3 linked regions of the Drosophila melanogaster genome follow. The protein of the gene in region 1 purifies or fractionates together with the protein of each later gene. This does not show direct contact. Each region holds a gene or a part of one and is shown in the gene's direction. Other genes may lie near its edges. The genes, in order: CG2641, puf and Vps4.

Region 1 (3,754 bases):
GCGCCCACCTGCGAGCACCTAAGCAAGGTGGTGCGCGTATCTTACGAAGTGCGTGTGGTGGCTGTTATGAACTGGCTTATGGCTAATCCCCGGCTCATAATCCCTGTGACTATTGGCAACGTGCCCCTGGCAACTGCGGTGTCCGGACCGGACTTCCTGCCAACTAACGCCTTCCCATCTGGAAGTTCGCTGCCTGCCGACTTGCCATGCACCTCTACAAGGGCCATGGAACTGGCTCAGATGGCCGCAAGCGGGGTCAGCAACTCCGGCTACGAGATGGCCGAGGATCTAGAGGACTTCGAGCTTCCAGAGGATGGAGATGATGAGTTGGAGGCCGCCGACGATTTCGTACCAGATTTACGTGAGTACAAGAGAACAAAATATTTCTAGCTAGGACTTTGTTATGAAAGATGTTAAATAGAGCCCTTATGTATATGTTCTTTATATTTTTGTTATGCTATTGTGAGGCGATAGTTTCATTCTTCATTCTCCATATTTTTTATGTCATTTTTTCTATAGCTCCTCCTACCTACGAGCAGGCCATGTTCATGACCACTGATATTGCGGACACGGACGCGAACACGGTCAGCGAGGCCTCCCGATTTACTCCACGCTATCCGGTCTTCGATGTGGACACCTTCCAGAGCCCGCCGCCAAATCCTCCCCAGAAGAAAAGGCGCCGCCGACGCAGACGTCCTGCCGATCCTGGACAGTCGAAGCAACAACCGGAGAAACAACCAGTGGAGTCACCCGTGCAGATCTGAGGGCAGTTATCGCGAAAAATCACGACTATATCTTATCTCGGCAGTATTTATTTCTTTTACGGTTCGCCAGTGTACTTACCAAAATGTTTACTATATATGTATGTATATCGGAATGATAAACAACCCAGAATATAAAAGTGTCTACTGGGTGATACGCGATAAATTGCGACTATAGCCTAGACAACCAAGTCCATGAAGGCATTGAACTACAAATTTATTTATTCATTTATAAATTAAATTGAGTGGAGGACTTCTAGCTCAGTCCGTGAGTTTAAATACTTATGAGAGCTAGAAATTTTGATTTACGCATACATGCTCCCAATTTCTAATTCTATTGCTTGACAATTTCCATTAAAATGCAAAAAAAAAATGTATAACTTCCTCTCTATCTGAGTAACAGGTATCTGATCCGGCCCATTCCGAATTATATAGAATATATAGCATAGAAACGGACATGCATTTATCGCCTTAATACTGATCAAACATTCTCTCGACTGTCAAGATACCCTTTGGTTGCTACGCACCACGATAGAAAATCAGGAACTTCTTGGACTTTTGCGCGTTTGTAAATGAGTACAAATCATCATTAACAAACGTAATCAACTATCACAGACTTAAGTCCATAGACGACTTAACTTGATGTGATTCTTTTTCACCGTATTTCGTCCAAAAAATAATAACAACGCGATAATAACAACTCAACTAAACTAGAGCTTTCACAGAACCCACCTGATTTTTGTTTACAAATTTTTAGATTTGTTGTTGCCTTATTCTTCGTAACAAAACAAACAAAAAAGAGAACCGTTTATCAAAATCCGATGCCTCTCAATTTTGTTTTTTTTTTTTAGTGAGCGGAAGCCCCAAAAGCTCGCTCACCAGAAAAGCTTTGGCTCTCGCCAAGTGATGATGTCACTGACATCCCAGCTGTTGCAGACCGGCTATTCTCATTCTAAATTCTCACTTCGGGTGCGACGCTTGTCTGGTGCTAAATAAATTCACGTTGCGCGTCGCCAGTGAATAAGATCTGGAATTTCGAAATATATGTGCCAGCACCCACATACTAAATAATAGATTGCATTTCCAAAATGCCTTCCAGCTGCTCTTTTGAGCTCGATCGCCGCGAACCCATTTACTACAGTGGTGAGACGGTCAATGGAAGGGCCATTCTGACAACAACATCCGAAAAGTCTGTGAACGGTGAGTTTTAGTCGTTAAAAAGCGAATGGACTGATATGTTTTTAATTTGAGCGTAATCACTGTTGACTCTGTGATAACACCAAGCCGGTTTTATAGAATGCAGCAAACAAACAAGTTTGTTGTAGCGCCATAAAGTGTTTTGCTTCTTATATAAGAAGGATTTTAGCGACCATTTATGTGGCTTTAATTGTCTCAAATGTTTAATTCCTAGTATCCTAAATTGCATGCCCTGATGAGCTCAGTTCGCCCCTAACTACAAATTCATTGATCAATTTTTGCGTTTTTCAAATAGCCAATTCTAAAAACAAACTTGAAAGCTTTACAAAAGATAACAAAAGTATGTATACAAGCAAACAAGTATTTGATACAGTGCTCTGTATCAATTTCCATGTTCAGTTCCATTTTTGATTGGCGTAATCTCATTCTGCACTTACAGCAACTCCTTCGGAGTCCGAAGAAGGCTTTCACATACGTTCAACATATAAAGATTCGTTTTCGGATACAAACCATATTCAAATATCACTCTCTCTCTTTTCACTTTCTGATTAGAGGTATACATTCTTTTCGAGGGCGAGGCAAAGGTGCGATGGGATGAGCGGCGAACAAGGACGAGAGGTGGAAAGACCGAGCACTACACGGAGTATTTCCGAGGCAAGCAGCAGTACTTGTACACCCGGACATCGGTCTTTGGATCCGGGAATCTGCCGCCAGGTACGCACACCTACAACTTCTGCATTCCACTGCCCCTGGAATGCCCCTCATCAGTGGTGGCCCAGTACGGAAAAATCTTCTACGAGGTCTCCGTGGTCATCGATCGCCAGTGGCGCTTCAACAACGTCTTCAAGCAGCCACTGACGGTCATACAGACCTACAACCTCAACATGAGCCCCCAATTGCTGGTGAGTCCAAGGACAGGAACAGTTTACTAAAAGTTTAGATTGCACTAATCGGTAGTAAATCAATGCAGTTTTAAATTGTCCTGCGACAGATATTTAAGGACAATTAGACGAGTCATTCAAGTATAGAAACATTGCGTGCCTTATGGACGTAAATTCCGAAGTTATTAAACAAACAAGGGGTGTGTTCATTCAAACCAAAGCTATGGGACTAAATAAAAAATTTAAATAAATTAAAAATAAATTTTTTACGATCCTAACCTGTAGAAATGTAAACAAAAAAATGTTAATTAAACTTTAAAATTATATCAATAAGAGTAATTAGGTAATATTAGTTATTCCTAGGAACTAATAAATGCACACTCTTTTTCGACAGATGCCCCTAGTCCGAGAGGACATCAAGCACTTTTGCTGTTGGCCCTGCAGTTCAGGCCCGGTTCTATCGACATTAACAATACCCTTCGGTGGTTACGCGCCTGGTCAGAAGATACGCTTTACTCTGGAGATTGACAACCAGTCGAGTGGCTATGATCTGAATGGGATCGAACTGAAACTTAAGCAGATTTACAAATTCCAGGCTCAAACGCCGCACCACAAAACTCGCGAAAAGGAGCACAGCCTCAACAAAAGTTGCCAGCAGGAGCGCGTTTTGAGGCTCTCAAAGAAAAAAATTGAAGGAACCCTGGCTATTCCAGCAGTACCGCCCTCTTCCCGCACCGAAGGCATCATTTCGGTTAGTTACCAAGTTATCCTCACGATCAGCACTGGCGACTGCCACGTGGACTCGGACTTTGAGGTGCCGATTGTAATTGGCACCATACCATTGATCCAAAGTGCCGAGAATCCAGCCAGTGCAGCACAGTGGATACCGGAAACGCCGGACACTCCTGCCGGAGC
Region 2 (3,754 bases), about 17 Mb from region 1:
GATCCGGTTCGGCGAGTATATAACGATAGCCATCCTTGTTGAAGGGGTGTTCCAATGGATAGCCATGCGGTGGCAACTTTACATTGGCCGTAATATCGGAACTGGGCCGACCCTTCTTGCCCGTGGGACCCGAATCCGTGCCGGGAAATTTCCTTTTCTGTCGATTGTTTTTGGAGAGGGAAGCTGGAAGCATGTGGATCAATCATTAGTTACAAATCCAATAATAGACATGTATTGTGGAAATATAAAAACAGCTAATGCGTGATAGTAATAGTGGAGTAGATCTTGGGGCGTATCTGCAATGCTTCCAGAAGGAGCTATCCCCAAGGAAATTCGTTCACCAAGGAAATTGATTGCTGGGACATATGTAGATGAATGGGCAAAGTTCGGGTCGGTGCTGTTTCCGGGCTTACACTCCTCGTCCGTAAAAGATGACGCCATCGCGGAGGGAGAATGAGCAGGAGCAGAAGCAGGACCCGGTCACAATGGAACTGAAGGAGCGGGGGCCTTGCAATTGCGTAGTGCTCAAAATCAAATCGCAATCAATTCCCCCGAAAGAGCACCACACACACGCACACTGAGACACTGGCGAAGTGTTCCAAGCGTAACTATTTGTTTGTAATGAATGAGCCAAGTTGAGCGCGCCTCTGCCAGCCCCACCCCACCCCACTTCGCCCCGCCCACAATCTGACTACGTGGGGCTCTCTCTCTCTCTCTCTCTTTCTCTGTGTGTGTGCAAATCTGAAACTACGATCCGCATTGCGATTTTGTTAGTTGTTGTTGTTACTTTACTCTGGCAAACACTTGCGAAAGAGCGTGCGAAAGGAAGCGGCGATAAATAGGGGGAGCGAATAGGCAGCGGAATAGGCGACACAAAAACCACTGTGCCAAAATCAGCTGGTCGAACAGTGTTGCCAATTTGGCCGCCAAAAGATAATTCATTTAGCTTTCTACCACTGAGCGTTCGATAACACATGGGGTCAAGTTTTTAGCATTCAAATTATAGACTTCAAATCGATTTAAATGTCTATCATCTTATTTACACTCACCTTGAGTATATCCATCGTCGGTGAGTCGCAGGGCGCCGCTCTTGCTCATGCTCTCGTAGTTGGGCTTGATGATTCGCAGATCCTGATGGAATAGTCCGTACATGGCGCCATGTTCCGCATGCTCCTCGTAGGTGAACAGGGTCTGCACATCCTTGACCAAAGATCGCTGGACGGTGCTGTACCAGGACTGGGTGAGTCTGCGTGGCATGGTGGTCATGGCCTCCCAGTACTGTTCGATGTACGGTATGATCTCCTTGTCCTTGCTAAACTGAATCTGGCGACGTCCGTCCCTGGAAGCCGCCTGCTGCATGTTGGCAATGGCACAGTGGCACATCTGGGATATGGCTGGAAGTGGATATTGTTATTATCAAGAGGGATAAATGTGCGGGGCTTCTTTGCACTTACTAGCCTGGCTCTTGCGAAAGCTCTCCAATCCGCTGGCAGAGCAATTTTTACAGACGAACACATAGTTGGTGATGAAGGGCAGAAGTTTACCCTTACCAAGCTGGTAGGAAACGCAGGTCTCGTGCACCCAGCGTGAACAGGTGGCACACAGCAGCTCCACAATATTGAGATTGCGCTCCTTGCCGCTAAAAACAATGTCAATAGAAGGGAGCCGGCCAAGCAAAAAACCCATACAAAGAGCTCACCAGTAACAAACGCCGGCTGCGGAACGCGTTTCCTGCGATTTATCCTCCTCCGCAGTGAAGTTCACCTCGGAGCTGGACTCTGTCGGCGAGCTTGTGTCCATTTGGCTGTCCTCCATTGCAGTGATAAAGGTTTTCAGTCAACAATTAGCATGTAAACAAATATTAGCGGCCCGCAAGAAATTCGGTGGCTGGCCAGAGTGACCGTTGGCGGGCAAACACATGGTGCGTTTGCAAATACCAGAACGTCGCCAAAGAGCGATAAACGATAGACGACAACATTTAGAGCACACAGCCTGACAACCCTGCCCCTGCCTCTTCGCTCCAACTCTGGCTCTTGCTTCGATTGTAATTGTATATATATATATCCCTACCATATATATATGTCCGAGTGTAGAATTATCATTTTTTTGTTGCCGAAAAACAGTGTTCCGTGTTGAGAGGCGAGGGCGCCATCCTAAATGGCATTGCACGACCGCCGGGAGCGAGCCGAGCGACCAACGAATAGCAAGAAGAGCAAGTGCCCGCAACTCAGACCGTGACTCCGCCAGCGTATCCCAGACTCCGACTACTCTCCATAGACGGCCAGGAGTCGTCGCCGCTGGCAAGGCGGCCCTAACCCCTGGAAGCTACCGATTCGGTGTGCAGCTAGTGGAGCACCATGTGCGAGGTGTGCGCCGACTTCCAGAATCTCCTGGAGCTCTGTAAGTGAAAAGTGCACTGCGAAAAAAAAATAGAATGAAGACGAACACCGGAGCCCCTGCCCCCTGCTTACACATAGTATTCCGAATTCCTTTTGCAGATGAGGTGCGCGTGGCCAGCTCGGATCTGAAGTTCCAGCTGCTGCTGAAGAGCGAGATCGAGACCACCTTCAACTACATCCAGTCGTGGCCGCAGCGTCAGTGCATGTGCCTGTACCGGGACACCAAGAACTATGACCGTTTCAACCTGGTAGTGCAGTCGCTCATCTGTCTGACGGTGCAGCATCTGAAGCACATCGACCACCTCATCGACAACTACAAGCGGCTAACGGCCAGTGCTGCCCAGGTGGTGGCCCAGGCCCAGCAGCAGCGTGAACAGCAGCGGGACGAAGCGTCAGCCCAGGCAGAGGCAAAGGAATCATCCGCGCCAGCGGAAGAACCTAAGAAGGAGGAGCCATCTGGGTCCGCCGGTGAGGAGGCTCAGGGCTCCGGCGACGGGCCAGCCAAAAAGCCGCCAGTTGGCCCCTGCACTCCCCCTCCCCCGCAAACGGCCAATCCTCAGCACAAATCCCACCTGCAGTACACAGAGGAGCCCTGGATCCTGCCCGAGGTGGAGAAACTGTTGGTGCTCGTTTCAAAGGTGTTCCTGCTCAACTTCCCGCTGTACATCGCCCACAAACATGGCATGCACTCTCGGCTGGACGACCTGCAGGCTGAGGAGGCCCACCACCTGGCCCTCATCTGCGATCTTCACGACAACGACCTGCCCATCTATCTGCTGCGGAATGTGAGCCTGTTCTGCAACTCGGGCGGCTTTGGCGCCATGTCGCTGTGCTTCGAACATCCCGATCTGCCAGTGTCCACCGCTCACTCGATGACCGCTGCCGTCTCAAATGTGAAACTTTGGCTGAACTATCACTGTAATACTCAGCTCTTCGTGCCGCTGCGAAGTCGGATACTGCAGTACATGTGCAAGCTGTCGGATCAGAGCCTCCGATCTGCCGCAACCCGCGCGATGGCCGATTTTGTGTGGTCCTCTATGCGAGACCCACTGGATGTTGCTGTCAACTTCGACACCGAAGGATTGGCCCTGGCCTTTAAGTACTTCACATCGACCACGCTAACCATGCGACTGGCAGGTATGTCCTACGATGTTGACATACTTAATTAGGACATTTCGAATAATGCTGAAATATTATATTTATTTATCAATAAATATTATATAATAAGAGTAAATGATTTCAAATATTTTCCAGGCATGGCCCAGATCAACGCACACATTAATCTATTTAACGAGATCTGCACCACCGAAACGGTCAACGAAGTGGAGCTGTTCGGGCAGCGCATCGCGAACTGG
Region 3 (3,754 bases), on another chromosome or scaffold:
CTTTGCTACAGTTCATGTAAACTCTTAGTATCTAAGAACTATCACCGTGGAGTAGAATGGGAGTAGACTTGGAGTTGGGCCAATGCTGTGCACATCCCAGCTAGCGTTCACTACCGCACCGTCTTGCGGTAGGTGGCGTCCATCAGGCGGTCAACCATGCTGTCAATGGGATGGATGATAAGCGGTATGCTGGCCAGACCCACCAGGGTGGGCACCGTCTTTAGCACGGGCATAGGCGCTTTGCTCAGCAGTGTTTTGGTGGCCCAGGTGATCCTAAAACGATATAAATGAGCATTGCTTATTATGTGAACATAAACTCATAAAAATGGGTATGATCTTGGAGAGAACGATGACTTCATCGTGTATCTACAAATATACAATAAACCTGTTTTTGCAACATTGCACATGCCATTCTACTACGTATATGCACTCTATAGTATAATTTTTACTATGCTTATATAAGATAAGTATTATGCAACTAATGGAAAAAGGGAATCTTTAAGACGCCTCATTCCCTACTTCCAACTATGTAAATACAACCATTAAGTCTACGTTTTTGGGCAATTTTCTGGCAAGGGTTGAACGCACCGATTGATGACCAGGCCGGGAATGGCGACGGAGGCCAGCATCTGCCAGCAGAAGACGTCGCCGCCCTTGACGGCCACTTCTCTGGAGGAAGCGCCCTCCATTTGGAGGCGCAGTGCCTTGTCAAAAGTGTCCGTGCAGACGTATCCGATGGCCATGCCGTAGGATGCGGCCACCAGAGACTTGGGCACCAGCGGGCGGAAGGACTCGCCAATCTCGTTGCTGTAGCCTGCAAAGCCGTAACAATTAAACTCATATATTTCGATGGATCTGGGCAGATTCTGCTTGGGAGGAACACTCACCCATATAGCGAATGAAGGTGTCCCGGTAGATGTCCACCTCCTTCAAAGACGTGGAAGTTTTCTTGGTGCCCTTATCCCGGCGGATGAACTGTTTGTCCTCCGACATTGTCTATTTTTTTTATTTTTATTTTTTATTTTTGGAATGGCAGAAGTTCTAATGCTATTTTGATTTTCGAGTAATTGGGTAATATGACAAGATGATCTGATCTTCTCCAACTGACGCAAAATCAGCTGGCAACTGAGTTTCCTAAAAATTCATTGAAATCGCTTAAAATATCGCTTTAAATAAAATAATTAAAGCGCCTAACTGCCTATAAATTGGAGACTTAAAAACAAACTGTTTATATAAATATTTTAATTGCGCGTATCGATAATGTATTATTGTTATCGATTGTCAGAGCTAGTGGAAAAAACGCTAAAATCAGCTATTTATGGCGATTAAAATTTATAGGAATTTATAGCAATTATGAAATATCATATATTAGTTTTTATATTGTATTCGTTTTTTAATGAGCTAAGTCCATTTAATATCGCTTGCTATACACTTAATCATATAACATATGAGTTCCGAACTCTTTTAAGTTAAATAAAGTAATGTGAACAAATTGTCATATTGTCACATATGTGAATTTATTAGAGCTGGATTTTTGGCTACACTTTCAAAAACCGCGCCAAGTAATTTCACCTTTCCATGTGTGACCATTGCAGCTGCACCGCAATCTAAGGCCCAGCCCGCGCTGTGGTCACACTGACAAATAAAAAAAAACAAGACGTCGTCATTCGCGTTGGAATTCCAACAAAATAGTTAAGTTTTCCTTTTGTTTAACACCTGTCGAGTTAGCCAGCGAGTTAGTCAGTGACGCTTGCCGGAATTCCAGGAGCAAGTCAGCCAGCATAAATGTGAGTAATGGTCGGAACTGACCCGCCATCCCCTCCGCAGCCGCCCCGCAAAAAGTTGGCTACTTGTGTTTTTGTCAATGCCGCTGTATTCGGGCATTAGTCATGCCCAGAAATTCGATTTTGCTCGCGAACTGCGTCACCGAAGGACACTGAGTAGCAAGATGGGAGTTACTACTCCGCCAAGGATCAATTGGGTAACCATCGTCATCGGCCTGGCCAGCGAAACTCACGCCGAGATGATAGATTCCCAAGGGGAGGGGGGCTATTACAGCCCGAAATATATCAAAATTCTATGGAATCATTATGCTCGGGAAGTTTGGCATTACAATATGAGTTATAGAATCGTTTTGGATAGTGAGTGTAAAGCAATCAAAGGATATAAACAAAGCTGGGATCAGATCCAGTTGATTTTGCATAAATCGATATTGTAACTATATTTTTAGAACCTGTTTAATAACTTTATTTTGAACTTTATTCTATACATTATGCTCCATATTGCACAAATCGATTTGCCCACATATTTGTGGCATCTTTAGTTCTCTGTGTAGTAAAGTTGTAGGCTTTAAAATATGACAACTTAACTCTAAGCTGAGCAGAAATGATTAGAAAGCGGAAATTAAGATGATAAAATCCATAAGTAGTCCACGTTAAGCCTTGGTGGATAGTTCCTCCCATCAAAATGCCAGTTGAAATAATGATGTGTGAACGTTTGTAACTTCCAGCACCATGGCAGCCGGTACCACACTACAGAAGGCCATCGATCTGGTGACCAAGGCCACCGAGGAGGATCGAAATAAGAACTACGCGGAGGCACTGCGTCTGTATGAGCACGGGGTGGAGTACTTCCTGCACACCATCAAATGTAAGCAGTCCCATTAGTGCATCTAAAATGCACTTATACTCACTGAATAGAAGCAAGCTGACTACTAACTATCAAATTACTATCTAACGAGCAGATGAGGCACAGGGCGAGAAGGCCAAGGACTCGATACGGGCCAAGTGCCTGCAGTATTTGGACCGGGCCGAGAAGCTAAAGGAGTACCTGAAGAAGGGCAAAAAGAAACCGATCAAGGAGGGTGGTGAGTCCAGCGCCAAGGACGACAAGGACAAAAAGAGCGACAGCGATGACGAGGACGGCGACGATCCCGAGAAGAAGAAGCTGCAGAGCAAGCTGGAGGACGCCATTGTCATAGAGAAGCCAAAGGTTCAGTGGTCCGATGTCGCTGGCCTGGATGCCGCCAAGGAGGCGCTGAAGGAGGCCGTTATCCTGCCGATTAAATTCCCGCAGCTCTTCACTGGCAAGCGGATTCCGTGGAAGGGCATCCTGCTGTTCGGCCCGCCCGGTACCGGTAAATCCTATCTGGCCAAGGCCGTCGCCACCGAGGCCAATCGCTCCACATTCTTCTCGGTGTCCAGTTCGGATCTGATGTCCAAGTGGCTGGGCGAGTCCGAGAAGCTGGTCAAGAATCTCTTCGAACTGGCCCGCCAGCACAAGCCCTCCATTATCTTCATTGACGAGATCGATTCGATGTGCTCGGCGAGATCGGACAACGAGAACGACAGCGTGCGACGCATCAAGACCGAGTTTCTGGTGCAGATGCAGGGCGTGGGCAATGACACCGATGGCATTCTCGTTCTCGGCGCCACAAACATACCGTGGGTCCTCGACTCGGCCATTCGCCGTCGATTCGAGAAGCGCATCTACATTCCGCTGCCGGAGGCGCATGCCCGCCTCGTCATGTTCAAGATCCATCTGGGCAACACCACGCACGTGCTCACCGAGCAGGATCTCAAGGAGTTGGCCGGCAAAACCGAGGGGTAAATGCACTTTATAAACTATTTGCTTCACTATCACACAAAATTGATCCATTGTTTATAATGTTTATATGTAAGCATATTTAACTAAGTGAATGATTTTCCGTTTTGCAGCTACTCTGGCGCGGATATATCAATCGTTGTGCGCGATG

The links.
Region 2: the proteins of CG2641 (region 1) and puf purify together in Drosophila melanogaster (affinity purification with mass spectrometry, with the first as the bait; one large-scale study listed by BioGRID). This does not show direct contact.
Region 3: the proteins of CG2641 (region 1) and Vps4 purify together in Drosophila melanogaster (affinity purification with mass spectrometry, with the first as the bait; one large-scale study listed by BioGRID). This does not show direct contact.

What each region holds. Positions count from the first base shown.
Region 1 is NT_033777.3:7,792,360-7,796,113, forward strand, and holds the start of CG2641 (uncharacterized protein), read left to right. Parts: upstream 1-1,709; 5' UTR 1,710-1,849; coding exon 1,850-1,961; intron 1,962-2,510; coding exon 2,511-2,860; intron 2,861-3,233; coding exon 3,234-3,754. Other genes in the region: CG10086 (uncharacterized protein), read left to right, coding at 1-361, 520-764.
Region 2 is NT_033777.3:24,648,290-24,652,043, reverse strand, and holds the start of puf (puffyeye), read left to right. Parts: upstream 1-2,000; 5' UTR 2,001-2,357; coding exon 2,358-2,400; intron 2,401-2,498; coding exon 2,499-3,536; intron 3,537-3,653; coding exon 3,654-3,754. Other genes in the region: ash2 (absent, small, or homeotic discs 2), read right to left, coding at 1-183, 1,050-1,394, 1,455-1,639, 1,700-1,815. UniProt on the Drosophila melanogaster protein: Ubiquitin hydrolase that can remove conjugated ubiquitin from target proteins and polyubiquitin chains. Essential for Myc-mediated cell growth and proliferation in developing eyes and wings.
Region 3 is NC_004354.4:17,906,065-17,909,818, forward strand, and holds the start of Vps4 (vacuolar protein sorting 4), read left to right. Parts: upstream 1-1,627; 5' UTR 1,628-1,787; intron 1,788-2,509; 5' UTR 2,510-2,513; coding exon 2,514-2,649; intron 2,650-2,743; coding exon 2,744-3,605; intron 3,606-3,716; coding exon 3,717-3,754. Other genes in the region: CG7772 (uncharacterized protein), read right to left, coding at 111-273, 589-814, 888-993.